Regions from separate parts of the Mus musculus genome. Here all the other regions are reported to be linked to region 5. The links are microRNA targets in miRTarBase. Many come from high-throughput screens and were not tested one by one. Region 5 holds a microRNA gene; each other region holds the end of a gene's coding sequence. Distances are between the middles of the regions.
What was found. The annotated mature microRNA mmu-miR-1195 reads UGAGUUCGAGGCCAGCCUGCUCA and lies in region 5 at 3,001-3,023, opposite strand. An mRNA with a match to its seed (bases 2 to 7 or 8) in the 3' UTR can be bound and repressed. Matches are read on the target gene's strand: a 7mer-m8 pairs with bases 2 to 8, a 7mer-A1 pairs with bases 2 to 7 and ends in A, and an 8mer does both.

Region 1: miRTarBase lists Mmp25 as a target of mmu-miR-1195. Seed matches in the 3' UTR shown: 7mer-A1 at 1,424-1,430 and 8mer at 1,706-1,713.
Region 2: the mRNA of Ranbp17 is a reported target of mmu-miR-1195. Seed matches in the 3' UTR shown: 7mer-A1 at 2,996-3,002.
Region 3: miRTarBase lists Bbs1 as a target of mmu-miR-1195. Seed matches in the 3' UTR shown: 7mer-A1 at 3,027-3,033 and 8mer at 3,054-3,061.
Region 4: the mRNA of Trub1 is a reported target of mmu-miR-1195. The part of its 3' UTR that is shown has no 7-base or 8-base seed match.
Region 6: miRTarBase lists Mrgprb1 as a target of mmu-miR-1195. Seed matches in the 3' UTR shown: 7mer-A1 at 2,873-2,879 and 8mer at 2,901-2,908.

The regions. Positions count from the first base shown.
Region 1 is chr17:23,626,195-23,631,269 of GRCm38, reverse strand. Mmp25 (matrix metallopeptidase 25) reads left to right here. Exons shown (of 10, transcript NM_001033339.4): 9 at 7-264; 10 at 434-2,101. The coding sequence ends at 702. Among named protein-coding and RNA genes, the nearest start is that of Mmp25, 17 kb to the left of the region's middle.
Region 2 is chr11:33,209,002-33,214,076 of GRCm38, forward strand. It overlaps Ranbp17 (RAN binding protein 17), which reads right to left. Exons shown (of 28, transcript NM_023146.3): 28 at 2,793-4,497. The coding sequence ends at 4,401. Among named protein-coding and RNA genes, the nearest start is that of Tlx3, 8.0 kb to the left of the region's middle.
Region 3 is chr19:4,886,581-4,891,647 of GRCm38, reverse strand. Bbs1 (Bardet-Biedl syndrome 1 (human)) reads left to right here. Exons shown (of 17, transcript NM_001033128.3): 16 at 572-658; 17 at 890-4,766. The coding sequence ends at 976. Among named protein-coding and RNA genes, the nearest start is that of Zdhhc24, 10 kb to the right of the region's middle.
Region 4 is chr19:57,487,416-57,492,490 of GRCm38, reverse strand. It overlaps Trub1 (TruB pseudouridine (psi) synthase family member 1), which reads right to left. Exons shown (of 8, transcript NM_028115.3): 8 at 1,486-4,482. The coding sequence ends at 4,223. Among named protein-coding and RNA genes, the nearest start is that of 6720468P15Rik, 19 kb to the left of the region's middle.
Region 5 is chr17:70,857,558-70,862,632 of GRCm38, forward strand. It overlaps Mir1195 (microRNA 1195), which reads right to left and starts at 3,043; the gene lies at 2,946-3,043.
Region 6 is chr7:48,442,991-48,448,065 of GRCm38, reverse strand. Mrgprb1 (MAS-related GPR, member B1) reads left to right here. Exons shown (of 2, transcript NM_205810.4): 2 at 1-3,953. The coding sequence ends at 956. Among named protein-coding and RNA genes, the nearest start is that of Mrgprb1, 11 kb to the left of the region's middle.

The sequences.
Region 1 (5,075 bases), 47 Mb from region 5:
TTCCAGGCCCGCAGTTCTGGGTGTTCCAGGAACGACAGCTTGAGGGTGCAGCGCGGCCACTGGTAGAGTTTGGGCTGCCCCCAGGAGAAGACGTGGATGCTGTGTTCTCATGGCCTCACAATGGCAAGACATACCTGATCCGAGGTCAAAAGTACTGGCGGTATGACGAGGTGGCCGCCCGCCCAGACCCTGGCTACCCACGTGCCTTGAGTCTCTGGGATGGGGCGCCCTTTGCCCCAGACGATGTCACCATCAGCAACACAGGTGTGGAGAGTCATTTGCAAATTGTGATCCCTGGGAGAGAAAAGATGGAGACGAGGGGAGGGCAGATGGGGTGGGGTGGGGTGGGCATCCTGGGAGTTGGAATGAAAAAAGGAACATTGGCTTTGGGGCAAGTCTAGACCAAGACTCTGAGGCGTCTCCTCCCCTACAGGTGACACTTACTTTTTCAAGGGCACCCATTTCTGGCGCTTTGCGGAGGGCAGTGTCAAAGCTGAGTCAGATTCCCCCCAGCCCATTGGGCCCAAGTGGCTGGACTGCCCTGCCCCCAACTCTGACCCTCGAGTCACCAGTCCCCCGAAAACGACATCCAAAACCCGAAGCTGTGATTGTCACTGCGAGCTCAATCAAGCCTCAGAGCAGCTGTCGCCCCTCCTGCTGCCTCTCCTACCCCTAGTGGCTGGAGAGGTCTTTTCTTACTGAAACCTGGTCCTTCCTTGTGGACTTCCTATATAAAAGGAAGACGGAGTCTCCCGCAGCGGGGCCTCACCATCTGTGCTCCGCGTCCCTCATCCCACGTGCACAGAGCTGAGAGATTCCTAGTAGAAGCCCGGGGACGCCTCCAGTGTTACTGAGTCTGCTTTCTGTTAGGGTGCAGGGAGCCGTGGCCATAGTGAGGGTGGCCGCCAGGGGGTGGTGTGCACCCTCTCCATCGCCAAGAGGGGCGTGCCTGCTGTAGCTACTAGAACTAGAAACCCAGCAGAATTGCAGCTCCTCAAACCAGAATTGCTCCTCCAAACCAAGGTGACACTAACACCCAGGTTATGTGCTGCCTTCTGCTGAGCTAACTGGCTTTCTGGGAATCCCCACTCCTCTAATTCTCAACTAGTCCTACTGATCACAGTGGGATGGTGACTGTACTCTGACTAGATGCGTTAAACAGGACCAGGACATTGAACCCCAGCATCTCCTTTAGCCTCTGAATGTTCCTGAATCTTCTTACCATGATCTACTCCCTCCATGTCCCTTCATAATCACTGCCACAGGGTAGGGACTTAGGCCAAGCACTGCCACCTCCTCTAGGGTGTGCGTCAAGTCTTGGCTGACAACAGTGTTGATGTGGATGGAATTTCTCCATGTTTGGCCCTGCTTATCTCCTTTTACGTCACCCTCATCCCAGAACACAGCCTAGGGTCATCACCCTGAACTCAGGATTGCCCCATTCATTTGGAAGGGATCTTATGATTCCTGTCTTTGTCACTGATTGCTGTCCTAGCCCCCCCCCCCCCAGGGTGCCCAATGAGACACAGTGAGCAGTGAAAAAAAAACCTGAGGTAGCTTCCTTCAAACCAACTTCCTCATAGATTCAGGACCTAGATCATTGCTTCTGTGCAGAACCTCATGGGATTTTTTTTTTTTCCCAAGACAGGGTTTCTCTGTATAGCCCTGGCTGTCCTGAAACTCACACTGTAGACCAGGCTGGCCTCGAACTCAGAGATATGGGGCCTCTTCCTACTGAGTGCTGGGATTAAAGATGTGCACCGCCACTATCCAGCATCTCATGGGTATTCAAGAATAAAGATCATTTTCCCTTGCCCTGAATCCGCATTCTGGGGAGGGGGCCAAGAATCTATATTTAGGAATGAATGCATAGACAGCTTGAGTAGTTTACTTAGTAAGGCAAAAGAACCAAGTTTAGGATGGAGAGATGGCTCAGTGGTTAAGGGTACTGGCTGCTCTTCCAGAGGTTCAGAGTTCAATTCCCGGCAACCACTTGGTGGCTCACAACCATCTGTAATGGGATCCAATGCCCTCTTTAATGTGTCTGAAGACAGAGCTACAGTCTCATATACATAAACTAAATACATCCTTAAAAAAAAAAGAACAAGATAGCAAAGCACTCTGAAGAGAGGTTAAGTAGGCTCCCCAAGGTGGGGGAGAGGCCTAACGGAAGACTGACTACCCCAAGGTGTGTGGGTGGGTGGGTGGGGGGAGGCCTAACGGACCGCTTCCAATGAGGGGTTTTATGAATATGAGGTAGGTGGAATATTTATTGGGCAATGCGCCCTTATTTTCATCTCAAACTATGGTGGACCAGATCTTTCATTGTTAGGTCCACAAAAGGGAAGGAATGAAAAAGCATTAGGAACTTTTGTGACATATATGATATTTCAATATTATATATATATCAAAATATAATATTGAAATATGTATTCAGCATATATTGAATGGTCAATATTATATATATTGAAGGTATGTAGGCTGAATGTCCTTGTGGTTTAGTTTCTTGTATTGTGGAGACAATGTAACTGCAGCTTCAAGGAAGCACAGGTGCCAGGGGTACTCTGACAACCAGGGGACAGCCACCAAGATGCAGCTGTCCTCACCTCTCTAGTTCCTTGGCTACTGGATGGTCTCTGCTGGAACCTCAAGGATTTCTGAGAAGCCATTTTACCCACCACTGAGTCTGTTACGGAGTTAGGAGAGTGTGCGAAAGGTGTGTGAGTCCCTCAGCCCTCATCGGTTCGGATCAGAGCCTTAGACTGAGACCATAGTTACTGGCTTTTCTGTAGAGCTGCATGCTTCTGAGTCCGTCAGCTTTTCTGTTTCATATCCAATTACAAACTCTATTATTTTTCGCCTTCAGTGTTTTGTTGAAGACCAGGATGGTCTCATACAGAGATAATCTGGCCTCTGCCTCTGGAGTGCTGGGATTAAAGGTCTGTGCCACCACAATGGGATCTAAAGTGTTCTTTATCTTCACAACTTCATCAAATTAATTCACTTTAACTCACACATTTGCTTTTTACCATAATGTGGGGGAGGGGTGGGGAGCTGGGAACTAAGCCTGACTCAGGAAGAGAACGAAACGGGATTGGAGTGGCTGGAGAAGTGCTCTCTAGACTTGCAGAGGATTCTGTTTTGTTTCCCAGCATCGGAATGGCCATAACTCCAGTCCCAGGGGATCTGATGCCCTTTTCTGACCTCTGTAGGTGTGTGGTACATTTGCAAGCGAAACACTCATGTACATAAAGAGTCAATCGTTTTAAAAGGGTGGTCAGAGAAAGCCTTTATTTCTTGTGAGCGTGATGGATCTGGGGCAGCTGGAATAAGATGTCAGTCACTGTGCACCGCAGGAGAAGCTGCAGGCTTGGATGAGAAGGGGGTGAGGGGTTGGTTTTAAAAGAAATGGGGGACCCAGCTGTTATGAGGTTACAGGAGTCTTAAAAGGTAAGAGAGGAGTGTTGTGAGGTCAGTAGTTTCCAGCCTCCTGGAAAAGTTATTTTGCTCCAAGAAAACTGGTTAGTTCTGGACAACAGCAAAGAGACTGTCTTGGAGCCCTGAAGCCTCAAGTCCTCGCCTCTTTCAAAGAACATTCTAGAGTTTACTTTGCCCCCTTACTCAGGCTATGTGCACTTGCTTAGACTCTGTCCTCAGGCTCCCTGTATCTTCACCCTGATTCTTTTCCTGATCTCTCCAGTCACTCTGCTTCTCTTCTGTTTCCTTGGGGTCAGTGCGCCAGAGCTGTGGTTGTCTGGTGGGCAAAGCTGTATCCCAGGGAGCTGGGACTTGTAAATTCAAAAGAGTTTTATCCACCTGTGCTGTTGCTAAAGGATGGAGGGTTACAGGACTGAGGGTCATGGAGAGCCGCTGAGGCCTGGTACCTGCTGAAAGAATCTGAGTCCCTGAGGAGAGGTGAAGTTATAGCCTCAGTCATAGATCCTAGGATGTATCTATTGACCAGACTGCTGTAAAAGTTTTGATGAGGGGCTGGAGAGATGGCTCAGCGGTTAAGAGCCCTTGAGTTCAAATCCCAGCAACCACATGGTGGCTCACAACCATCCATAATGAGATCTGACGCCCTCTTCTGGTGCATCTGAAGACAGTTACAGTGTACTTACATATAATAATAAATAAATCTTTTAAAAAAACGTTTTGATGAAGGCCTGAGGAGAAGGCTAAATTGGTAAAATGCTTTCCTGACAAGCTGAAGAAGTTGACTTTGCTTCCTAGAATTCATGAAAGGAAGCTGAGCGATGACCCAAATGAATAAAGCACTAGATGCACAAGAGAGAGAATTGGAGGTTAGAGTCCCCAGCATCAGGTATGGAGTGTGGGAGCTGCCTGTCATCCATTTACTTCAGAGGCAGAGACAGGGAATTTCATAGCAAGCTGGCTGCTGAGACTAGCTGAGTCCGTGAGCTCTGGCTTTAATTGAGAGACCTTGCTTTGACAAATAAAGTGAAGGGTGACCAGGGAAGACATTTAATGTCAAATTTGGGCCTCTACATGCACACATGTACACAAAGGTATACCAGTCACATGCAAATACACATGCATACACTCTCCCAAACACAAATAATCTCTTCAAGGTACTGGAGAACACACTAAGATGCAGACCCACAACCGAAGGATATATCTAGCTGGGCAGAGCACATTGCCCTCTTGAGCCAACTGCTACACACACAGTTGGGATGTGTGCATGTAACATGGATGTGTGTGTAACATGGATGCACATGGAACATGGATAGACAGAGCTAATTTGAGATTCTCTCCCTTTCTTTTACTTTAAGACAGGGTGTCTTTGTTTAGCCCTGGCAGTCCTGGAACTCTGTAGACTAGGCTGGCCTTGAACCCTGCCTTTACCTCCTGAGTGCTGGGATCAAAGGCGTGTGCCATCACTGCCCAGTGATATTCTCCTGTGGTCATATCTCCCCCAAAACATTAAATTCCAACTGGAACCAAAAACTAGAAGCCACAAAGACCTTTGACCCTTATCACTGCAACACATTTTGATTCTAGCTAATGAGAAACCATGCTCTTACAATGAAGCTTGGTCCAGTATTGTTCACACC
Region 2 (5,075 bases), not on the chromosome of region 5:
CATCCATCGGCCGTTTCCCCATCTTGTGTTGTACAGCTTTCCTCCCTCTTCCTGACAAATTTTCTCTGCTGAACTTGACTTCGTTTCAACCCTTTTGTTGGGCAAATTACATTAAGATGGATGTTGCAGGCACCCTTTATGGCTTATTTATCATGATACTGTTTCTATCTCACGCTTATAAATAACTTATGTTATAGCTTTTGTTTGTGGAGATGTAACTTACATATTTTATTACGCTTTCTGTAAACCTCAAAAAGAATCTTGTCAAGGGAAGCGCTCTTATCAGCAGTCCAAACTGTGGGACGTAAAACCCAACACTAACATTATTTTTTAATATGCCAAGGAGGTAGGTTACTCTTGCTGTAGTTGGAAAGGCTCGCTTCCTCATAAACTTGCACCTCAATAAAACATTAAAAAGTCTCAAGAACGATTTTATGAAGTACAGCAGGAGGATGAATCATGGCAGAGCTCACAGACTCAGCTCAAAGTCTCTGGGTAGACTGGCTTTTCTGTCTAAGTATTTAGTCCTAACGGTTGAGGGGCCTGAAGGGCCCCCTGTCTACCTCATCAGTGACAGCTACAGAGGACCCAGTTTGGGATTAAACAGAAAAACAAAGTAGGTGTGTAGTTAGGAAACTCTCTTGACTTCTGGCACAGAGGAGAAAATGGCTCCAGGCTGTCTAAAGGCCTGAGGCTTCAAGGGTTATTGCCTTAGGGAAGAGAGGTCCTTGACCCACAGCATGCTTTCGGAGAAGGGCTAGAACTAGGATGTGCCTAGACTGTGTGGACCACAAACGCCATTCCCCATCACCTCTTATTTCTACTCTTGGACTAAGTATGGGAGGGTCTAGCTATGCAGCCTTTTCTCAGTCTACTTGTTTGTTTTCTCATCTCTAAAACAAGGAAAACAATACTTGGCATTCTTACCGAGAAGCAAGGCCTAGCAGGTGAATCCAGTTCTCTTGCAATTGTTTCCGACTCACTGTTCCTGTTCACCGTGGTGCTAGCATGGAACATAGGGCCCTGTAAATGCTCCACCAGAGCCATACCCCAAGTCCTGTCTCTCTCTCTCTCCAGAGGCTCCTTTCCTCATTCATGGCCCTCAAATGCGCCTCCCTCCAAAGTGCCAGGCTGGCTACTACATCTGAATAGGGTAATATGACAGGTCATTTGCCCTTCAGTTTCTCTTACCAGCCTGCCCTATTCTGATGCTCAGCTGCACTGAGATAATCTGGTCACTCATCTAAGTTTTCAGCTATAAGCCAGCCCAGCTTTGCATTTTGGAAGGGGTCCCCATGACCACAATCCCAAGGTATGTGTAGACTGCCATGCCAGTGGGAGGGAGTCCAGGGAACCAAGAGGGTTTTTCTGGGCTGTTCAGATCATGACACACAGTGCAGGGACCATGTGCTCCCTGGTGCCCTGCCCTTACATGTTGATGGAAGGGCACTGAAAAGTGAGACACATCTCAGTCAGTATATCCACAGACCACTTCTTGCTTGAGCATTGACTCTGTAGCTGGCTTGACATAGAGCGCATACTGCATGCATGTTTGTACACTAGAATCTTTCTAGAGGGCTGTGGCGTGCAAAGGCACCCCATACCCCTATTCCACTGATGCCTTTACCAAGTGGTGGTCCCTGTGGCACTGTCAGCACTATTTTTCCTTATTGCTGAACTAAGGCAGACAGATACACCTGCTATCTGATCACATGAATAGTGGCACTTGCTGTTTCCTTGTGCCCTCTGGTTTGCTGGGTATCCTAACATGTCGGTTTTAATACTGGGATAGAATGTCTCCAGAGGCCACTCCTGCATTAAACCTCTGGGGTCTCTGTCCCCATGCGCCTTCAAAGCTTTGGTGGGCTTGGGAGTCCCAACCTGGGTTTATGTCTGTGATGCCATGAAGGTGATCCTTGGACACTTGGCCCCCACTTCTGTTTTCTCTCTGAGGAGGGGGGATCATCACAGATTAGAAAAATTGATAGTTCAAGGGAGAAACCTATGTAGCCAAGGCCAGGTAGGCTGTGGCAGACCACTTTAAAGGATACTGCTGCCAATATCCCTGTATTCAGTCTGTCATCGTGGGCTCCTTCCCAGTGTGTGGGGCAGGACTAGTGTTCTCCCAGCAGCGGATGGAGGCCCTTTAGAGCCAGGGGTGGGGGTGGGGGTGGGGTAGGGGTAGGTGGGGGCGAAGCCTACCCTCAGATCTCTAAAGTCTCTGGCTCTTTTCCACAAGCTAAGTAAGACCTGTGTGGTGAGCCACGATCCTTGGTGAGCCCTGTGCCGAGCCTACCCCTAAACACAACCATTAGCTTGTGAGCCTCGGCCTTCCTCACCCAGGCATTCCGTACAGTATGGAAGCGCTCTCTACCTCTCACCTATATCTCCAGGCTAAAATTCTGGAGTCATTTACTGTTAATGACCAAGCTCTGAAAAACAGGTAGAACAGACCTAAATATCAGCACCACTTCCATGGAGGAGGCACAGTTCCCTCGGGACAGAGCTGGGTGAAGCTATGCACCATCTCTGGCCCGCCCTTCCTGATGCTGCAGTGTGAGGGAAGTGTGGGTAAGAGTAGGGGCTCCATGCTCGCTGACTGTCCTCTCTCCTAAGCTGGCCCCTACAGAACACTCTGTAAGTCAAGCAGTCAAGCTCACAGAGGCATGAGGAGACTGGCTGACCCTGCTTCTCAAAATGCTTCCCAAGACCAAGTCTGAAAGGGACTCTCCACCTCCTGTTAAGCTCCCAGTGATCTCTGGTCACAGGGCAAAGAGAAGGGAGCCCACAGCGTTCTTTTCTTGTGAACACTTTAATGCAAACGATGCAGTGCTGTTGACTAGAGGCATCTGTGAGAGACGGTGCTGGAGCGGGGAAGCATGTGCAGTGCTGTGGGAAGAGGGCAGCTACAACCACCCTGCCCACAAGCACACAAGCCAGGCATTGTGGCCGATGCCTATCAACCTTCACTGAGGAGGCTGTGGAAATGTCACAGTGAGTTCCAGGCCAGCCTGGGCTACGTAGGGAGGCTCAGACAACCAAAACTAAACAAGTGAAAAACTAAACAAAAACCAAAGAGGAATTCTTGTCAAGCTCCTTGAAAGCTGATGTTTCTAAGTACAGGATTTGTCTCTCTAGGAGAGTCCTCTTCCCTAGCGGAGTGGGAGGAGTACGGTTCAGGCTCACCTGCCTGCTCAACACCACAGGCACTCTCATCCAGACCCCCCGTTTCCCACGCTCCCTTTGCACACGGAAGACAGACACTTGGGCATGAACTTAGGTGGCTGGCTTTCATACGACAAGCTTGTTGCAAAACTCAACCATCAAGAAAGGTTTGAAGAAACACTAGTCTGAGAAATGAGATTACAGCAAGAGCCTGTGGATTTTCCCCTGCAACAGTGAGGTCAGCCTTTCAGGTCTGATCAGACATTATGGCCGCAGTGTTTATTGTAAGCCTGAACGCCAAAGTCAGTGCAGTGAGATAGGAAACCCGCCTGACAGTGGCAATTCCAAATTAATAGCTTAGGTTTGATGGGTCACAAGCTGTAAAGGCCTTCATTTCCTATGTTTGGATGAAGTCACATCCAACAGTGGTTAAGCGTGTGGAAGGCGGAGGGAGGGCGGAGGGCAGAAGGTGGCAGCTGAACTCTGCTGGGTGGTCAGAAGGCAGAGCTGCTTCCAGATACAACTTGCCACCCTCAGCTTTCCTTCAAGTTAAATGGAGCTTGTGCACCTAGAACTTCTAACTAGGCTTCCAGAGTCCTAAACACATCTCTCTGCAGGCAGCAATTGCAGAGCTAATTCTTCTAGACTGAACCACTTTAGATTTATGCCAGTGGAAAGCAAACATTGTTTGTTAGTCATCTAATTGTGTTACTGTCTCTGAACTTTATCAGATATTGCTGAGGCAGAAAGGCCTGTGTGCAGTTCTGGGGGAGGCTTTATGGTGCTTCCTCCCAAGCTCCTTGTCAATGCCCACAGCCCCGAGTCCCTAATATTGCATTTTCCAGATGTAAAGATTGAATTCAACAGGTTCAGATGGCATCTGTCTCGACCCAGAACCCACACTGAAGTGAGGGCTGCATCTTCACCAAATCCACAGCCGTGGTCACAGGCACTAGCCTGGTTTACTATGTTCTTTGGTTGAATACAGTTTCTAGACCCTTTAGCATTGTGGGAATCCAGATAGACTTGAAACATGTGCTGCTTTGAATACTGAATTTACATTGTATGTGCACTATTATAAATTTTTATAATTAGCTCAGACTTATAAAAATGTAGGGCTTTAGCTGCTTGTTCTGAAAAATACACTCTTCTGGGCTGGCCAGCATCGTAGTCTGGAACCCAGACCTTCCAGATTCTCTTGACAAAGGCTGCACAGCCCACGCTCAGGAGCTGGGTCAGCTCATCATGTCCAGGCTGCTTAGGTCAGTGTGGCCATCGCTACGCAGGGCCTCTGCCACATCTCTTCTGAAGACGGAGAGGTTCTGGGTAAACCTGTGGAAAGAGAAGCAGTGAACACGCAGGCCGTAAGAAGCTCTAGAGGAAGGGCACCGTGGGGCACAGGACCCAGGAGGGGACTCCGTACGAGGAGGCTCCTCAGTGCTGGGAGTTCCAGCAGCCACTGCTCTTCTGCTACCAGCACCATCTCCCACTGAATACCAGCACTCCCACGAAAGCCACTCTCAGCAATTTAGGGATGGAGAGCATTTGAAGTTCTACTAAAACATTACAAAATTTAGTTATGTCTCATACTAGACTGAATTTACATATGGGTACTTAATCATTATAGGTCTCCCCAAAAGTAGGTATTATTATCTTCAACTAGAACTGAATTTAGTGAATGAAAAATAGGGGGGTGGGGATGGAATGTGGTAGCTCAGGTCTGTAATACCTGAAGTTAGAAAGCAGTGTAGAGGGACCGTGAGTTTGAGTTTGAGGTTGGCTGGCACTATGTGGTGAAATCCTATCTTAGCAAAAGGTGCAAATGTGGTGTGTGTGTGTGTGTGTGTGTGTGTATACATATGTACTGTGTTTGTGTACTATGCACGAAGCCTTTAGTTTGATTCCCAGTG
Region 3 (5,067 bases), not on the chromosome of region 5:
AGATCTTCACGCTGACGTGGGCTCCAACAGGCAGGGCTGGAGCTAATAAAGTGCCCATAGTAAGTTGCAGTAAGAGTAAGGGAATGACCAGTAGACCAACACAAGACAGAGACCAGACTCAGCTCCTGCCTCCACCACCTTTCTCCCAGCCAGAGAGACCCCAGGAAGCCACACAGGATGGGCTGGAAAATAGCTGTGTGAGTTTTTCCTCTGCACCCCTGATTGGAGAGGGCAGGCTGCTTCCCAGCTGTTCCTGCTGAAGAAAAGGAGCCACTCTCTGCCCCAATCACGACAGAAGCAAAGGACCCGGTTCCCCCAGGGCCCAGGGGTCCTCAAGTTGGGAGAAACAATAATCAAAACTCTGGAACAGAGAGGAGTCTGGGCTTAACCACAGACACGTGGGCCCGAGGCATGCTCTTCCCCTCCCTGCACCTTGTTCCCTGGAGCTGGCTGGTCATGCTTGCCCAGGCTGAAGCATCCTGAGAGGACAGCCATAACTGCTTTGTAATCTGTCAGATGCTGCCTAGGTGTGTGGGCTTTGAGGGCTAATCTATTTCTGTTCCCCAAATAGGTTCCCTTGCTGGTACCAGGACTCAGTTACCCACTGGAAACCTTTGTGGAGAGTCTCAGTAGCAAGGGCATCTCAGACATGATCAAGGTAGGTGGCTACTTCAGAGGCAAGTGGGACCCTGGGGAAGCAGTAGGATGAGGCTGGAGAAGACTATGGGACCCAGGGCTGTGATAGGGTGTTAGCACAGCAGAGACCCCCAGCCTTGCCATTCCTTTGGCAGGTAAGCCGGGAGCCTGTCACTTGAGCCAGCAGACAGATTTGCTGCTAGTGAAGAGGGGAGGTCAAGTTGCCCCCTCTGCCTTGTCTTTCCCTCCCTAGGTGCTAGTGCTTCGGGAAGGCCAGAGTGCTCCCCTGCTGAGTGCCCACATCAACATGCCTGTGAGTGAGGGTCTGGCAGCTGCCTGAGCCCTGCGCCAGCATTCAAGTCTCCACAAACAAAATGGAGCCTTTCGGATTCAGTGACTTCCAGTATTGCCAGACTACTTCCCCCGGTAGCAATGTAGTGAGACAGCAGCTCCCTGTTCTTCTCTGACACAGTCCCTTGCTCCCCACCTCTGCCAGTGACCTGAGCAACAAGACACGGGGTGCTCGGAATCAGCTCCTCCTCCTCGGAACCCACTCAAGCCCTGTCCCTCAGTTCCGGCTGCCTGCTACTCCCCAGGTCCCAGGAAGAGATGTGAGGTGGTCAGGGCGAGCATAGCCTCAGTCCGTCCGTCCTTCCTTCCACTCACCTCTTTCAGATCAAGAGCACAGTTGATCGAGGGCTTAGATGTCGGCTGGTACTGATCCTCTGCTGTCCTTTGAAGTTGCAGGGGTGTGGGTGCTGCCAGCTTGGTTTATAGGCACATGTGCTAAGCTTTCTCAACTGAAGAGGGGCTCCACTTTCTACCCTGAAGCCCAGGAGTCATGGGGCTCTGTCCCCAGGTCCTAGACGAGCCACAGAGATTGCCAGAGGAGCTGGTGCCAGAAGTAGACGGGGTCCGTGTGAGGAGCTAGAGCCACACAGCCAGCAGCTGCTCCCGACATGGGTGCTCATGGCCAGAGGCACTGTTCTGAAATGGAATGCGGAGCTAGATAGCGGAGCTGGGGCTGGTGGCACTGGGAGAGGTCTGGACCTGGGACCTGGGAAGTGACCCAAGAGGCAGATGCCGACAAGAGCCTGTCAGAGTGCACTTAGGTCCAGGAGCCCGAGATGGTCCTGAGGGTGGAATGTTCACTGTGCAGTGGCCAGAAGATGCCTGAGCTCACGGAAAAGGTGCACACCAGGGGTGTGGCATAAAGCCGAAGACTGAAGGTAGATGTGCTTAGATCTCAAGGGTCAGGGCCCCTGGCCCTCCTCAGAGGCTGTTCTGAATCACTTGAGAAGCAGGAGCCCTGCTCCATGGAGAGCAACATTTTCCCCAGTCTGATCAGGTTCAGCCTGGTGTGTGGCACCCAGCTTAGGCTTGCAAGCTTCCACCTCCTCTCCAGTACAAGAGACTTGCCTGGATTAACTCTAAGCCGTTGTCAGCTCTGGCACCATTAGAGCTTGGCAGCTCCTCAGGAGAAAGGGAAGCATTGCTCCAAGAAGGCGAGACTCAACTGCACAGCTTTGTCCACAAAACCTAAGCTGACCACCACTGCCCAGTAACAGCCTCTGCGCCCACTCGGGGACCAGGGTGACCCTTTCAAAGGGTACTTCAGGGCCCAGGCTAAGAGACAGTGGGTCTGGACCAAAGAAACATCCTCGTTCTCATATTGCCCATCCCCCTCAAGACAGTACTACCTGAGCAAGGAGAGCAAAGGGTTCTTTGTGCATCATCCAGTGAGGCACAGCTGGACCACGCTGGAGGTCTAACTGAAGATGGGAGAGGGCAGGGAATGTTGCTGTGAGTCACAAACCCCAGCCTATCCTGCACAGTAAACAGGAAGGCCTGTCCAAGTTGTTGAGCCCTTGTCACTGTGTCATGTGAGCGGGGCTGTGCTCTCATGGGGCCAGGTTGGATCATGACATCCCAGTCCCTTTCACCCAAGTCATGCTGTGAAATCAGAACAAAAATATTTGATGTGTGCACTCTTCATAGCTACTCATGATGATACAAGGGGTGAGACATATGACCAGGTCCTACCATAAAACACAGTGTCATACTATGCTTGCCTAGTAAGAAATGTATGCCATGCACCTTATGCACATAAAAGAACATGAAGCATAAACGGTGCAGAGTGTCCAGTACTCACGGAAGTCAGAGTTCTAGGAAACTGAACCTTAAGGATGAGAAGAGTCTATCTTTTTTTAACATAATACTTATTTTAAAACACACACCTATGTAATGACCTGGAATAGACTATTTAAAGTAAAATGCCCTCTTCCCATTCCACAGGACCATTCCTGTACAACAGCCATCTTCATTAACTATTTTATTTTATTTTTTGGTTTTTCGAGACAGAGTTTCTCTGTGTAGCCCTGGCTGTCCTGGAACTCAACTGTAGACCAGGCTGGCCTCGAACTCAGAAATCTGCCTGCCTCTGCCTCCCAAGTGCTGGGATTAAAGGCGTGCGCCACCACCACCCAGCCATTAACTATTTTAAAAAAAAAAAAATATATATATATATATATATATATAAAGAGATTCTTTTAAAATTATGTGTGTGGGTGGATACAGGTGCCCAAAGAAACCAGAAAAGGGCCTTGGATTCCCCAGGAGCTGGAGTTACAGGTGGTTGTGAGCTGCCCAGTATGGGTGCTGGGTCCTTGGCAAGAGTCCTTAGACATTACCTGTTGATCCCTGTTGCAGCAGATAAGCGTTTGGTGCTCTTGAGACCCCTCCCCTGCTCTCCATGCTTTAGGTAGTCAGTGCCCACTGTTTACATTGCTGTTTATATTGATTCGTGAAAGTCTTAGTAAAGTGAGAATTAACTATAACCATTTTTGAACTTTTAGATGTTTTCATGGAATTGGCACTTGGTTTGACTTTTCTTTCTTTCATTGCTAAGTTTTCTAATATACCATGGAAAATCCCCCCATCCTATCTCAGTTCATTTCTCGGGCGGGACACTTCCTTTCTAACTTGCTTCTGTGCAGACTCCCCTAGAAGAGAATTCCTTCTCCTGTTAGATCCCCTGATTCCTGGGTCCCATGTCTTCTTTCTTCTTCCGCCCTCATTGGGTAAAACGTACCCAGGGTAAGATCACTCTAAAACCCACCTGTGATGGTTATTCCTGGCTGTCACGTTGACTGTACCTGGCCTGAGCTACAGTCCAGAATTGGAGCACCCTGTGCTCCAGAGCTGGAGGCTGGAAGGCACGGGCTTTGATCTGGACCTTGGAGCACAGTGACCGTGAGAAGCTCAGGCCCAGGGAAGGTGACTCCTGCCTTTCATCCCAGGAGACAGAGGCTAGCAGATCTCTTAAGTTCAAGCCAGCCTGGAACAGAACAAATTAGGTCCAGGCGTGGTGGTGCACACCTTTAATCTCAGCCATACTTTCTGCTGGAGGCCTCCATAAATAAGGACAATGGAAGAAGGAAGGCTTGCTGCTTCTTTGCCTGCTTGCACTTACCTGCCAGCACATCTGTTGGAGCCTAGTTCTTCAGGATTCCAGCTTATACAAAAGACCAGCTGAAACACCCAGCCTCATGGGACTGAGCAACTACTAGACTCTTGGACTTCCCATTCACAGCTGCCCATTGTTGGTTAGTTGGATTGCAGCCTGAGTCATTCCAATAAATTCCCATAATATATAGAGACATTCCATAAGTTCTGTGACTCTAGAGAACCCTGACAAGATACCACCCAAGTCTTTATATCACTGCTTGTCTGGACACTGTTGTGACAGTCTGGGTGGTAAAACAAGCTGGGAACAGTTTTCCTGTAGGCGAAGCTCCCATGTCTTCTGTGCTCTGTCCCAGTTGTTACTCTGAGGTGGGGGTAACGGGCATTCCTCCTCAGGGCTGGCTGTTATTCTCTCTCTGGGGCTCCAGTTAAGCTCTGTCTGACAGATGGTCGCTACTGAGAGGACTGCATTGATCCTAATTTTCTTCTTTCATGGTCATCTTTTTGCTTTGTTTTCCAAGAGTGAGAATTTTGTAAGCTTTTCTTACGTTTCAAACTGTTTTTCTTAGTTCCTGTGTTCAGTTCTTATATTTTCTTCTCTTTAAGTTTTGCATTTGTTTATATGTAAGTAGCCTAACAGCATCTAATTAAACAAAAACTCATAATGAATTTATTTTATTTTGTGTGTGTAGGGGGGGAGGTAATAGGAAGCACTCAGGGGCTTTAACTGATATTGAACCAGAGGCCAGAGAATAAAGCAAAAGTACAGAGTCCTTCATCTGGGGTGGGGAGAGGTGGAGGGTGAAATTTTGTTTTTGCACAAAAACCCAGGCCTCTCTGTAGAGGGTGTGCAGGCCATCTGCAGGCACAGCAGAGCCCCTAAGGGGCACAGCCTGAGACTCCTGTGGTCTGGCCTCTCTGTCCTGGCCCAAGATTGGGCCCTGTTTTATTCTCTTTACTATATAA
Region 4 (5,075 bases), not on the chromosome of region 5:
TGATTAATGATAATCAAAAAGAATCGGTTGTTTTCTAAGAAATGAAACAGAAATGGAGAAATGAATTCGAAAACAATTCCTAACAACTTTCTGACTGGCCTCAGCATTTTTAATATCATCCTAAAAATGTCTTATTGTAGAACTTAATTTACTTGATGATAAATGAAGACATTATGATTTGAGGGCCATGGAATCTCTGTTTAACATCTGTATTTAAAAGCTGACCAGGGCAAGCTACAGCCGCTCACACAGCACCTTGAGAACAAAACATTTTAAGACGGTCCTTCTATTTAAAATTTAAGGCTATTACTATAATTTCAGTGCCCAAACTGCATGCTGTTATCTTTGTCTGACTTAATAAATGCATCTGTGCTTGACAGTGCTCTTGAATTACATTTCTGCATTATCCAGAGCATGATACAATTTAAATTACCTTTTTCCTCTGAAACAGAACGGCTCACCCTCTAATGGAAACTCAAAATGTTCGTTCTAAGTTTGATTTCAGACTGGTCGGAGGGGCACAAACTGTACCAGCATTTCTGAGGCGGGTGGTTCTCCATGAGTCAGCAACCTCGAGTTAATTCATGTAGTGAAGAGCGAAAGACCCAGCGAGCTCAGGAAAACGTTAATTTGTCTCTTGTTCACCAATCACAGCTTTGAATAAATTCCTATTATTTTAATCCTTGTAGATTTTAAGGTCAGAAGATAATTCTGTGACTATTTTAAACATTCACATGAGACCAACATTTCTCAGAAACCTAAGAGTTAAATAATCACAGTGAGGTGATTTGGTATGTTCCGTGCTGGGATATCTGAAGAAAATTCTAACTTACTTTTTTTGCCCATAAGTAAAATGACTTTAATCATGCCAAGTATCTCAATGCCTGAAATATATAAGTCACATATATTTTTCTGATGTTCTGATTAAATTTTAAAGAGGATGAATGTTGAACTAGTTCAGACCTTGGGTCTTGGTTTCAGCTACCCATGAAAGTTAAGAATATTTAAAAATCGTAATAAATTTTAATTACTCATATTTACACATCTGACGGTAGTGAAACCTAAGAGTCAGCAAAACCTAATATGTTTACAAAGCAAGACACAGGTTGGTGCTGCCAGCCCAGCTGGCTCTTGAGTGCCCTGGGAGATAACCCTGGGCACGCCTGGGAGGATGATCCTGACAGGCTAATTGAAGAGGGATGTCTGTGTTAGCAATGTGCAGGGCCACTCCCTAGGCAGGGGCTCTGGGCCGCGTTAGATGGAGAAAACCTGCCGAGCAGTACCATTGGCTGCTTGCTGTTCCCGGCTGCAGATTTATGAGACCAGCTGTCTGGACCGCCCGCTCTGGGATCCTCAGCTGCAGCCAGAGGAAGCACTCCCCTTTAGGTCCCGTTTGTCAGGGTATTTCATCACAGGACCTGGAGAAGAAACTGAGACAGGCCAGGAAAACCACTTCTGCTAAGAGCTTACTGCAAAGAACTCGTGTTACATACAAAGAAACATTTATTTAGACAAATGAACAGGGTGTGAAGGTAGGTCACACAAAAGCAGGGAAACTTTAGCAACAATGTATAAAATCCCAAACAATGGTGGTACTATATGTTACAGCCCAGGGGATCACAAGCTCTTATTGCTTCCCCTAAAATAACCACATTACAAGAATGTGTCCTAGAAAAAAAAAAAGGCTGCTTATGTGTGTAGCCCCGGGAAAGTAGTTTAAATGAACTGAGTACAGAGATATAACAGATATATTCGTGAAGACTAAATGTGCCCAGATAAAATCGTCTCAAGAATCAGTAAGAGCAGAGGAGCCTGAATTATGTAAATAAAGAGGAAAATGCAATATAAAAATAAAATCCAAAATGAGTGCATTAAGATGGTGAACATTATGGGCATTTTTAAAACCTGCATAATTTCTCCAGCATTTCCAAACAAAAGGAAAAGACTGACTGCCATTTCTTGAACTTGCTTGCTTTTTCATAAATTTTACTCTTCACTATGAGAAGAGTATAGATTGACCCATGGCTGCAGCCGCATATGTAGCAGAGGACAGCCTTGTAGGGCATCAATGGGAGGAGAGGCCCTTGGTCCTGTGAAGGCTCGATGCCCCAGAATGCCAGGGCAGGGATATGGGAGTGGGTGGGTGGGTGGGGGAACACCCTCATAGAAGCAGGGGGAGGGATGGTGGGATTGGGGGTTTCTGGAGGGGAAACCGGGGAAGGGGATAACATTTGAAATGTAAATAAATAAAATATCCAGTAAAAGAAAAAAGAAAAAAGAAACCTCTAGGCTGTATGGTCTATTCAGGCTTGAGCTGTTCATGATGAAGACATACCATGTACAGCCTAGTCCGTTCTAACGGGCAGCAGGATCTAACATCACCTTTGGTTACACGAATTACAGGACATTAGATAGGAATATATAAAAATATAAACATACAGGGTCCCACTCCGAAGTCCTGTGTAGTCCTGGCTGACCTGGAACTCACAGAACTCCACATGGCCACGCCTCCTGAGTGCTGGGATTAAAGCTTCACCGTGACATCAGGCTCAAAGCTGTGTAACTTCCAATTCATCAATTTACCATAATACAACACTTGTATTTTTCAGTCTCATACTAAGAATTCGTTTTTAAATTTAAAAACATTTCATTCTTTTGGTTTTTTATGTGTGGGGGATGGGCACGGTGTACGCGCACTGCAGAGTGTTTGTGGACAACTTGCTGGGGTAGAGGTTCTCACAAAGGTTGCCCAGGGGTCAAAGCTCAAGTCATTGGTCCTGGTGTCACCAGCTGAGCCAGGTTACCTGCCCTGAGTTAACATTAACGTTTTTATTAAAACACGTTGCCAGTCTGCTGAGAATGCCCTGTTGAAGCACCCAACTGTTTATATTAGGTTTGCATTACATTAACCACAATAAAACCGTCAGTCTGCTTATTTAAAATATTTTAGAGGCAACAACCTCTAAGAGGAAAGGTATGAAAAATATAAAAACTTGTACTTTACGGAATGTTTAATAAATCTTCTTTTTGAAAATATACGTTAGTAAATGAGGGAAGCCTTGACTATTGCCACAGCTGTACAATACCTTTCCACATTCCTGCAGGAGTCAGTGGCCTATGCCTCTAACCTCTACACTTGGGAGGTAGATACAGGAGGAGTCTTGGCTACATAATGAGTGGGGCCATCCTGCGTTAAATCTCGATATCTTAAAGTAATTATTTTATGTATGTGTGTGGAGGCATGGGTGTTCGTTCACAGGGGCCCACAGGCCACAAGTGGGTGCTGGGTCCCTTGGAGCTGAAGTAGCGAGAGCCGCCTGCTGTGGGTGGGTGCAGAATCTACACTCCGTGCCTGCTGGACAGGCAGTGTGTCTTCGCCTCTCCAGTGTCCTCAGTTTCCTTGTCTTCAAGAACTCAAAACACACAATAAAAGAATAGATATTACTATAACAAAACAATGAAGCACTCATAAAATCTGCTGTTTGAAAATGTGATCATATTCTTCATAACTACAGAAACCATGTCACTGGACCAGGGTTCCGCAGTCACAGAGAGGCGCTAACGAACAGGCAGGAGAGCATTTTAATTCAAGATACATTCTTTAGTTTATATTCTAGAAAATCACATTTTTGGTACTTTGATACCATGTGGTTGACCACAGAAATAGCTGCCACAGTCCACGGCTACAGGAGCTGAGCTCTGCTGAATACAGGATCTGAAATGAATCACGTCTCACGCTATTTACATTCTGTCAGTGGCCAAAGCAGGAGTTTGTGCATTTACAGATATGTATTAGGACAACGTATTGATTCCCGGGATTTAAGAAACACAGTCACAGCTGAGTACAGCCCACCAGCACCTTCCAGCAGCCATAGGCTCTGCAAACACACAGGACAGCTCGACACTGAACACTTCAAATGTATTCAGAGAATTTCAAAACAACGAACGCCCCCTCCCCGAGTCTAAGCAAAGCAAGTTTGACACTTCTGTGAGACCAGTGGAACCTGCAGCTCAGACTTCAGGATTCTGTCATTAGAATATTGTTTAACTTTTTCATAGGAAAAAGACTAAGGGAAGATCAAATTCAGAAAACTTATTTATCTGAATCCAATCAGATCCATCATTCAGAGACATTAAGACATCTTGCAAAGAACTCAAGAGGTGTATGGGCATTCCTGGTCGGGACAGACACCAACCAGGAAATGATCCTCCCAGGCCGGCCTCACAGTGTCTTAACTGCGTCATCTTCTCTCTTTGTGTCCCTGAGAGTTATATATCCACAGCTTATAACCTGGTCACTGGAGTTGTCAGATTTTAGTTTTTTAAATGTCAGCTCCTCCGGCAGAAGAGACGTGCAGCGCTCGAGGGACTGTTCGATGTCATCGATGGTCCACCTGTCTTCGGGGAGGGCGTGCTGTGCAAGTGTGAAGGGCCCCTGTTTGGTGCGGGTCAGCTCCAGCACGCTGGCACAGGAAGAGAGCTCTACGGTACCCAAAAGGAAAAACGCAAGATGAGCCGCGTGGCGTTCACAATCCACAGTCTTCCAGTCAACAGAACTTCTGACCTCCCAGGGTGCCAGCCCAGCACCAGAGCCCAGAGCCTGAGGTAAGTCACTGCTTCAGCAGGAAAGATGATTTAGGGATGTAAATTTATACCTGTTTTCCTTTCTTGGCATTTGAAGCAAGCCCGGGACATAAATATTCCCACTACCTTGCAAATAGGATAATGTGACCTGTCCACTCATGTGATCAGGGGACAGCAGAGGCAGAGAAGGCACTTTCTGGGTTTGTAAGATTATGGCTTCCAGTTTTTGTTTTTTGTTTTTAAATGATTTGTATCAATGTAAATAATTTTTACAAGGATAACTCTTTGTTCTTCTGACCTCTACTTTGAGTTAAAATGCTTTTTACTTGGAAAGATGTAGGCTTCCCACCCACTCTCGCTGTGTTCATCTTCTGCCCCATCCGTGCTCCCTCTTCCATTACCAGCACCTCCCGGCAGCCACTGGGACTCAGAAGTGCACACTATAAACCCACAAGCATCTGAGCTCAAAGCAGCAGCTCAGTCCCTCCGCC
Region 5 (5,075 bases):
GGTGTCCTGCAGAAGCCAAGGCAATCCCTTCATATTTTCTTCAGTGACAGGAATGCTTATTCCCTTGCAAGCGACATGAATAAATTTTATTTTTACATTTATTTGTTGATTGCAGTGATGGGGGTTGAACCTAGGACTTCCCTATTACTAGGCAAGCACTGACCACTGAGCCACACCTCAGCTGTAGCAAACTTGATGTTAAAACTCTGAGCCGAGCGTGGTGGCGCACGCCTTTAGTCCCAGCACTTGGGAGGCAGAGGCAGGCAGATTTCTGAGTTCGAGGCCAGCCTGGTCTACAGAGTGAGTTCCAGGACAGCCAGGGCTACACAGAGAAATCCTGTCTCGAAAAACAAAAACAAACAAAACTCTGACATCTATATTACTTTTTTTTTTTTTTTACTATACTTGATATAGAAAGATTGGTACATTCCACTCTCATTTTGAAAGCTCTCTAGCATATTTAAAGAGTATATAACATACATATGTACTGGTCCTCAAGAAATCCTTTCCATCTATTTATTTGTTTGTATGTTCACTCGTTTGTTTGTTTGTTTATAGACAGGTTTTCATGTATCCCAGGCTGGTCGGGAACTCTCTAGGTAGCTGACAATGTCCTCGAACTTCTGCTTCTCTTGCTTCTACCTCCTAGGAGTCAGGGCTCCAAACCTGCCTTACCATGCCTACATCTTTTTTTTAGTGTAAAACTAGAAATTAAGTCCAGGACCTTCCTGCCTGGGAGGCAAACACTTTGACTGAGTGAGCTAAATACACTGTTTTTAATTATGTGTCTATGTGTTTATGTATAGATGTATGCACAAAAGGTTTTGTGCACACACCTATACATGAACACATAGGTTTGTGTATAAGTGTGTATAGGTGTATAACACCTATATACACACAAGGTTTCCATGGACATGGCCATCAAGAGCCTCCCAACAAAGGTGCAGGGAACTGACTCCGATGATTTGCAAGAACATTTCAATCACAACCACTGAGCTACCTCTCCAGCCCAAAACCTTTTTTTTTTTTTTTTTTAATTAAAACATTTACTATTGTCTTTTATATGTGTGTGTGCCCTCCCCTGGCACTGAAGTTATAGAAGTTGTAAACCACCATGTGGGTGCTGGGAATCTATCTCTAGAACTGCACCCCATGACAACTAGCTGCTGAGCCTTTCTCTAGCCACCTCTCTCATCTTGTTTTTAGTAAAATCCTAAAGAGATGTGTAATCTCAGATACAATGTTCACCATTCCCAGAGTGGTTTTGCGTTTTAACTTTTTTAAATCGTGGATTTTTTCCCCCTTTTCTTCTTACTCTATAGCTCAGGCCCAGGATGGTGTGGGAATTTACTGTGTAACCCAGACGCTGACCCTGCCTCCTGCCTGAGCCTGCTAAGTGCTGGGGTTACAGGCGTGTATCACCCACCACCTAGTTCTCTGAGGAGGTGGAATCCAAGCTCTGGGCTCTGGGAAGGGCTCTACACACTGTGCTGCACACCACTGGACTGGAAAGCCAGTGTGTACTCTGGACCCCTGAACTGTCTTCCTTCATCTACAAGCTACTGCTTACTTCTATTGTTTGATATAAACCCCAGACATCACATCACTTCTGGATCAGCAGTTATGATTAATGTTCTAGCTTGTCTGATCTGTAGCTCTGAACTTACTCACAAAAGGGCTGGGTCTGCAGGGCAGTGGTGGCGCATGCCTTTAATCTCAGCACTTGGGAGGCAGAGGCAGGTCTGGTCACCCCAGAATTATACACCCCATTGTCTTTTGCTGTTTTCTGCTTCTAAGGCTAAATGTTTCTCCAGAGAGAACAATTACTTTTCATCTCTAGTTGGCACTTTAATGCTTTTAGTTCTAATAACCCATTATTTAGGTTAATAAAGAGATAAAAAATTGCTCCAGCAGGCTTACTCTTTTTTTTTTTTTTTTTTTTGGTTTTCCGAGACAGGGTTTCTCTGTGTAGCCCTGGCTGTCCTGGAACTCACTCTGCAGACCAGGCTGGCCTCGAACTCAGAAATCTGCCTGCCTCTGCCTCCCGAGTGCTGGGATTAAAGGCATGTGCCAACACCGCCCGGCAGGCTTACTCTTCAATGTGCGTTTCTATTCTTTCTGCTGGCACCCGACACACTATGTGCTCAGTTTGTTCTGTGTTGTTTGATTGATGAAATACACTCGAATCTTCACACATTTTTTTTTCCTCCTGTGGTTGGAATTGGATAGTTATTGTAACCAAAGGCTCCACAAAAAGCAATTTAAGGGAAGAAAATTTTATTTTGTCTCATGATTCAAGTGACCATGGGCAAAAAGACAAAAACCTTTATATTTTTTCCTTCCTTCCTTCCTTCCTTCCTTCCTTTTTCTGTAAAACACACACACAGAGATATGGGAGGTGTCCTTCAGGCATGTGGAGGTCAGGGGACAGCTTTTAGGAGTCTGTTTTCTCTCTGCACCTTTTTTGGGGGATGGAGTCTCTTCTGTTGCTTCTCACTGAGTAGTGCTCTGGCCTAGGTGGTCCGCAAGCTCTGCTGATTCTCCGTCTCCACTCTCCATCTCTTTCTGAGAGCACTGGGTTACCGTGGCACACCCTTGTACTCGAGTGGGTGCTGGGGATCAAACTGAGCTCAGTCAGGCTTGTGCACCCAATCAAGGCCAGTGCTTTAGACTGTCCTGCCGTCTGTCCATCTCAAGAGGGCATCTTCATTAAATGGCAAGAAATTAACATTGTGCTCATGAATAGAAACAAGTTTTTAGCTTGACATTTTAAATTTCTACAAATAATGCAGGCTTGACTGTGTCGTGTGTATAAGCCTTGTGTGTGGTGTTCAATACTGTGTAGCTACTACAGCTTCCCCTCAGAATGTAGACTGTTCTCTCTCTCTTTTCTTTTTTCTTCTTCTTTTTTACTTTTTCTTTTTTTTTTTTTTTTTACTTTTTACCTTCTTGAGACAGGGTTTCTCTGTGTGTTCCTGGCTGCCCTAGAACTCATTCTGTTGAGCAGGCTGGCCTCGAACTCACAGAGATCTGCCTGCCTCTACCTCCCAAGTGCTGGGATTAAAGGCGAGCGCCACCACAGCCCGGCTGCCTGGCAGATTTATTTATTTATTTATTTATTTATAACCTTGATCTCATGTTTAAGGTGATGTGTCCCAAACTCTCCACTGTGGGCATTATGTTTTCCTTTATGGTTGATAAATCTATCAAATGTATCAAAATAGGTGAATGTCCTGTCTTTGAAGCCTTCAATCTCAGCCTCCTCACTCCATCATTCCTTCTCCATTGCTTTGCTGTGTCCTATGGTAGGGAGAGCTGCCCCTCCAGTTGTCTGTGCTGCTCTGTCTACTTACAGGACATTTGGAGTCCTGGTTTATTTAGTGCATTAATAGCCTCTTATTATTATTATCATCATCACCACCACTATTGTAAAAATTCTTGGATTTACCCAGAGGAAGTTCCTCAAACTGTTTTTTTATTAATTTATTCTTTGACAATTTGATATATACACAGTGCATTCTGATTATTCTCCCTGTCTTCTCATCTTCCCCTCCAGTCCCTCTGACATGTTCATGTCTCTCTCTCTCTCTTTTTTAATATTACATGTTTTGCCTGAATGTACTCATGTGCCCCATGTGTGCCTGCTACCTGCAGAGGCCAGAAAAGGGCATTGGATGCTTGGAATTGCAGTTTGGATGGTTGTGAGCCCCATGTGGGTTCTCTACAAGAATAACAGGTGCTCTTAACCTCTGCACAACCCTCGAGCCCCTTCATGCCTTCTTGTTTTGCACCCCTTGAGTCTAACCACAGTGGTTCACGTGCCACTGGGTATAGAAGCATTCGCTGAAGTTGGTAGACTCACCCAGTGAACACACAATTGAAGGCAGTGACTGTCCCTGCCCCAGCAGCAGCCAGCACCAATAGTCCCCAAACCGGTTTCCTTGTCCTCTTGTACCATTCTTGGAAGATTTTCTTACCGTCTGGGACAGTGGCGTGTCTCAGGTGCATGCTACACTTCCCCTGCTCCAGTCCCCAAGCCCTGGACTGATCATTTTTCCAGCAAGTGCTGGCTATTCTTGTAGAAAAGAGAATCACTTATAGACATCAACATGAGCTCCAGTCTAGTGCACTGCTACTGAACCATGATTGCTTACTTCTGGGTTTCTCAGCAGAACTAAACACACACACACACACACACACACACACACACACACACACACACACCTTCATATGTTGGAAATCATGAATTCAAGCAGGGTACAATGGTTAACAGCTATATATTTATACTTCTGATACTTAGGAGATAGGCATGGGAATTTGGAATTTGAGGCCACTCTGGGCTACCTAGGTAAGAGTATATGTGAAAACAAGAGTATGTGTGTGATGGGGTGTAGTGGAGGAAAGGAGGGGCCCACATTATTTTGTGCTTCCAATTTCAGCAAACACAGCACTGCCTTCCATTCCCCGCCTCTCATATCTGCGCCCTCTTTTCTAACCACAAGCAACCTGCTTTCCATTACCTCAGGGTAATGAGTACTTAGTCCCATTACCTCAGGGTAATGAGTACTTAGTCCTAGATAGCAAGCTAGAACAGCCCTACCTGCCACTGGTAACTAACTCCTGTTTGCTTCCTCCCTTTGGTCTGGGGGTTTAAAGACAAAACATCCCTACTTCAAGTAATTCTGCCTTCCACACTCTTCAACTGACTGGCGCTCTCTTGAAATACATCTAGGTGATTTTCTGTTTGTTTGTTTGTTTTAAAGATTTATTTATTTTATGTATGTGAGTACAGGGTTGCTGTCTTCAGACACACCAGAAGAGGGCATCAGATTCCATGACAGATGGTTGTGAGCCACCATGTGGGTGCTGGGAATTGAACGAGGGACCTCTGGAAGAGCAGCCAGTGCTCTTAACCACTGAGCCATCTCTCCAGCCCCCATCTGAGTGTTTTTCATTGTGTCCCACACTGTGCCTCTCATTCTTCTGACTCTACAATTTTTTTTCTTGCACTTGTACATTTAGCAGAAATCCGTACTAAGTGAAAAGTTCACCCAGACACCAGTCAAACCCACAGA
Region 6 (5,075 bases), not on the chromosome of region 5:
ATGGAATATCATTTTGTGAAGTTGTGTCTCGTACCATGACTTTTCTTTCCCTCATCATTGCCTTAGTTGGGCTGGTTGGAAATGCCACAGTGTTATGGTTTCTGGGCTTCCAGATGAGCAGGAATGCCTTCTCTGTCTACATCCTCAACCTTGCTGGTGCTGACTTTGTCTTCATGTGCTTTCAAATTGTACATTGTTTTTATATTATCTTAGACATCTACTTCATCCCCACTAATTTTTTTTCATCTTACACTATGGTGTTAAACATTGCTTACCTTAGTGGTCTGAGCATCCTCACTGTCATTAGCACTGAACGCTTCCTATCTGTCATGTGGCCCATCTGGTACCGCTGCCAACGCCCAAGGCACACATCAGCTGTCATATGTACTGTGCTTTGGGTCTTGTCCCTGGTGTTGAGCCTCCTGGAAGGAAAGGAATGTGGCTTCCTATATTACACTAGTGGCCCTGGTTTGTGTAAGACATTTGATTTAATCACTACTGCATGGTTAATTGTTTTATTTGTGGTTCTCTTGGGATCCAGTCTGGCCTTGGTGCTTACCATCTTCTGTGGCTTACACAAGGTTCCTGTGACCAGGTTGTATGTGACCATTGTGTTTACAGTGCTTGTCTTCCTGATCTTTGGTCTGCCCTATGGGATCTACTGGTTCCTCTTAGAGTGGATTAGGGAATTTCATGATAATAAACCTTGTGGTTTTCGTAACGTGACAATATTTCTGTCCTGTATTAACAGCTGTGCCAACCCCATCATTTACTTCCTTGTTGGCTCCATTAGGCACCATCGGTTTCAACGGAAGACTCTCAAGCTTCTTCTGCAGAGAGCCATGCAAGACTCTCCTGAGGAGGAAGAATGTGGAGAGATGGGTTCCTCAAGAAGACCTAGAGAAATAAAAACTGTCTGGAAGGGACTGAGAGCTGCTTTGATCAGGCATAAATAGCTTTGAAGAGAACTATGTTTTTATCACTTTGTGGCATTTTCATAATGTTGTTTAGTTGATGACCCAAGGTTAACTCAGTTGGGGAAGTAGTCAATGTTGTAGAAGTTGATTGATATTGAACTTGTTATAAATACTGAGTACAGTATTTTTGCAGCTATCTTGCTCAGAGCTTTACCAACTCCATTTGATGGGACTCCTTATAAGCTCTATGGGGTCCAGGAGAGGTGTTGACCACAATTGACAAATCCCTCTTCAGAAGAAAACTCAAGAAAGTGCAATGAAAAGTTATATTTCTTTGCTCACTTAATTTGATAGTGGTTAAATCCTTGTTATACTTTGCAAAAAAAATTCTGTTTTAAAACAAACTTTTTCCAATAATGAAGGGCTAAATAGATAAGTAATAATCACAGAACTTACTAATTTCTGTAGGTTTTAATAAATGTATGATCATCTTTCTTATATAAATTTCTTAGTAAAGATGTAAACATTCTCAAGAGAAGTCTGTTAAATCACTATTCTCCCAGTGGATTCCTCACCTTCAAGTTCACTATCTATTCCATTTTCAGCATTGGAAGAGTGTGCTCAGTCTAATAATGTGATCCATCAATATCCATGCTCATGAAAAGGTTGAGAGTGTCTGTCCTCTTTTCTTCCTTTCACAGTGTCCTACTTAGCTTCCCATGGTTGAGTGTTGACTTTGTCATGATTCTCCTTCTCTCTGACTCTTTCCTCATGATATTTTTCCAATCAGGTCCTCTATAACAGGTTCCCTTGATATCAAACTTGTTTTAAATTTATACCATTTCACGAGCGAGTAGCATCTAAAAACTTAATTATGTAATGTTAAGTAAAGTTTTCTATAAAACAGTATTTCAATTTTAAAGCTGCAGTGTGTGATAAATTCAATTAAGAGGATAGAATATCAACAGATTAATGTAAAAAAAATCAGGATTTTAAGTTAATATAGGTATAAAACCTAATCAAGACACAAAACACTCTCTTATATTTCTTAATTTTTATTTCTCCTCCAGTCAAAATTTTTTGTCAGAGGTAAATATGCTGTCCATATTTTTGTTGCAAACTAAAATTTACAGTGCAAATTAAAGATTGTAGCATGATGTTTGATATACATGTAGCTAAATGGTTGTTATAGTTGAACAAACTAACATATACAGCAGGTTATGTAAATATTCATTTTCTCCTTTTGCTTGGCCCAGTATTTCCTCACCATGTCTCCATTCCTCTTTTGGAATGGATGGTAATGTACGATCTGTGCCTGTGTATGTGGGAAACAAGTACTGTGCTTTTTTTATTTGACAAGGAGTTACAATTAAGAGATTGCCTTGAGTATCATAAGAGACTTTTGACTTTTAAACTGTGTTTGTACTGTGAAAGACTATGAGAACTTTTCAAGTTGGATTTAGTGTGTTTTCTACTGTGATATAGCTACAAATTTACATGGTCCAAGAACTGGAATGTGGTGGTGTACCTGAAAAATTTCCTCTACAGTCTCATTTTGGAATTCTTGGCCCCAGATTGGTGGAACTGTTTGGGATGGATTAAAATGTGTGTCCTTTTTGGAATATATCTCAGTAGGGGTAATCTTTGAGGTTTCAAAAGCCAGTACTATTCCACATCAGCCCTTTATCTGCCTCAAGCTTGAGAGTCAGATATAAGCTTCTGGCAACTGCTCCATTGCCATGCCAACCTGTCTGCCTCTTCTCAGGCTTCTGGCTATGAGGGTCATGTATTCCACCCCATGAGAATTATGACATATCTTATGAAATATTTTGTATGAGTAGACTTTGTTATCACAGCAACAGAAAAATAATTATGAAACTTTCTTTTACTTAATATTTTAATTCCTTTTTTCGTTTTTCGAGACAGAGTTTCTCTGTATAGCCCTGACTGTCCTGGAACTCACTTTTTAGACCAGGCTGGCCTCGAACTCAGAGATCCACCTGCCTCTGCATCCCGAGTGCTGGGATTAAAGGTGTGCACCACCATGCCTGGCTGTTAATGTTTTTAAAACTATGTTTTTCACCTTCTAAGAAAGATTTGATAAGAAGTGCATTATTTCCTTATATATAGTCATATATAGTCATTATATAGATACTAACACTTTAAAGTACATTCTACTTCCAAATGAAATGATGTCATATATTTCTCTTTACATTTGCTTCCATAATGCAGCATGACATATATTAAATTTTCAACATGTAATAAATAACCTGATACCCGGGTTCTTAACAGTAGAGTAATCATGTTCTGTTTGTGACTCCCGCAGTTTCACAATTGATTCCTTCATTGTTCCTTATCTGACTTGTTCCTCTAGCTTGAATATTGTGAAGCAAATATAAAGACATAACAATGTTGCTACTAGATGCCTATTTTTAAATAAAGCCATGCCAGATTAAAATGAAATGATGGACAAAGATATGTTACTAGGATACATGCTCTCCCTTATTTTCTGGTCTTCTACAGTCTTTCTGCTTTCCTACTCCTCAATGTTTTCTGAATATCAGGTGTGGGAGTCATTTATACATGTATTCCTTTTAACTGGGCTCCATACATCTACATTTTTTTCTGATTTTCCTTAGTTTTCGTTGTCTTTGTTACAAAGAGAACTTTTCACAATGAGAGGTGAGGACTACACTTAGATGTGGGTATAAGGACAAATATATAGAATGAACTTAGGAATTATGTTAATGAATACAGCAATGGTTGTAGATTTCCCTCCAAAAATTCATAACTTCACCAGCCCTGAATAAATAGCTAGGCTTCCCATGTCACATATGATTTCCCCTTTTGATTACATGTTAAGTCTAATTGGAGATCTGTTGATTACTACAGAGTTATGTGAGGTATCTGTGCAGCCTTAGGATTATTATGCCTTGATAGCATTTGATGATATTTGTAGGCATCATAACTGTACATGACTACTAATCACTTCCTTCCTTTAGAAGCTTGCATGGTATGTTCTGGTACATGAATGGGAAGGCACTTAAATCAACTCCAGCTCAGATGTCTTTGGACCCTGTGTTTGGAATACATGGTGTCATCAGCAATAGGTACTTAATTTCTACATCCGAGGGGCAAGCAAAGGAGACAGCAATATCCTCTATGCTTCACTAGTCTCTCTTTCTTCTAAATCTTTATATTAATTTTCTAAGTCTATATTTCTAAGTCTTTAAATCAAACTATAAGTCTTCCTATTTTAGCTTCTGTATTATACTGTGCCTAATTAAATAGGTGGAGTATTTATGATAAGACATGTAGTGGTTTTCTGTTTAGGAAAAACACTTAAGATTCAGGGAACATTAAGAACAATGGAGAAGAAAGATGGTAATATCCAGAAGACCAGATGTCTGCACCTAGATAGAGTCTTCTAGACATGCCAGGGAGGCTGCACCCACACAATCTCAACAATGTCAAAAACTCTCAGTAATCTTAAACAAGACCTGCATAGTGATAACATCAGTACACATGTCAGTGTAAATATGGAAATCTCACAAGGATTCATCCCTAGATGACATTGCTACAAGCAATCAGTGGCTACAGCAATAGAGAAAATCAGTTTTCTTCAGGGATGAGCCATCCTTATGTGTTACTAAATCTAAAGTGATCACACTTAAACTTATACGTGACATGTAGTATGAGCATCAGTAAATAGATTAAGTTGCTTCTATACATGTGCACACACACACACACACACACACACACACACACGTGTGTGTGTGTGTGTGTGTGTGTACGTGTACAAGTAACATAATATAAAGAAGAAAATGTCTTGAATTTGAGAGGAAGTGGAGAAGCAGAAGAAGAGTTGTGGGGGAATGATGCAAATATGGTACTCATATTGAAATTCTCAAAAATTAAAAATAAAATAGTATACTTCATGGAGTTAAGAGGTTCTTGGCAGCTGATGAATGCTGGAGAGGGAGACTCATTTTTTTTTTTGTGGGTATGAAAATGGTAGGTAGGTTGTCTGAATCTTGGCAATGATGCCCCACATATGCACATATCATTAATATCAATTGGATTCATTGGATTGGAAAATAGGTAAATATGAGAGTGAAATCTTTCATTGGGAGTCACATACACCTAAGCCTGTCCACA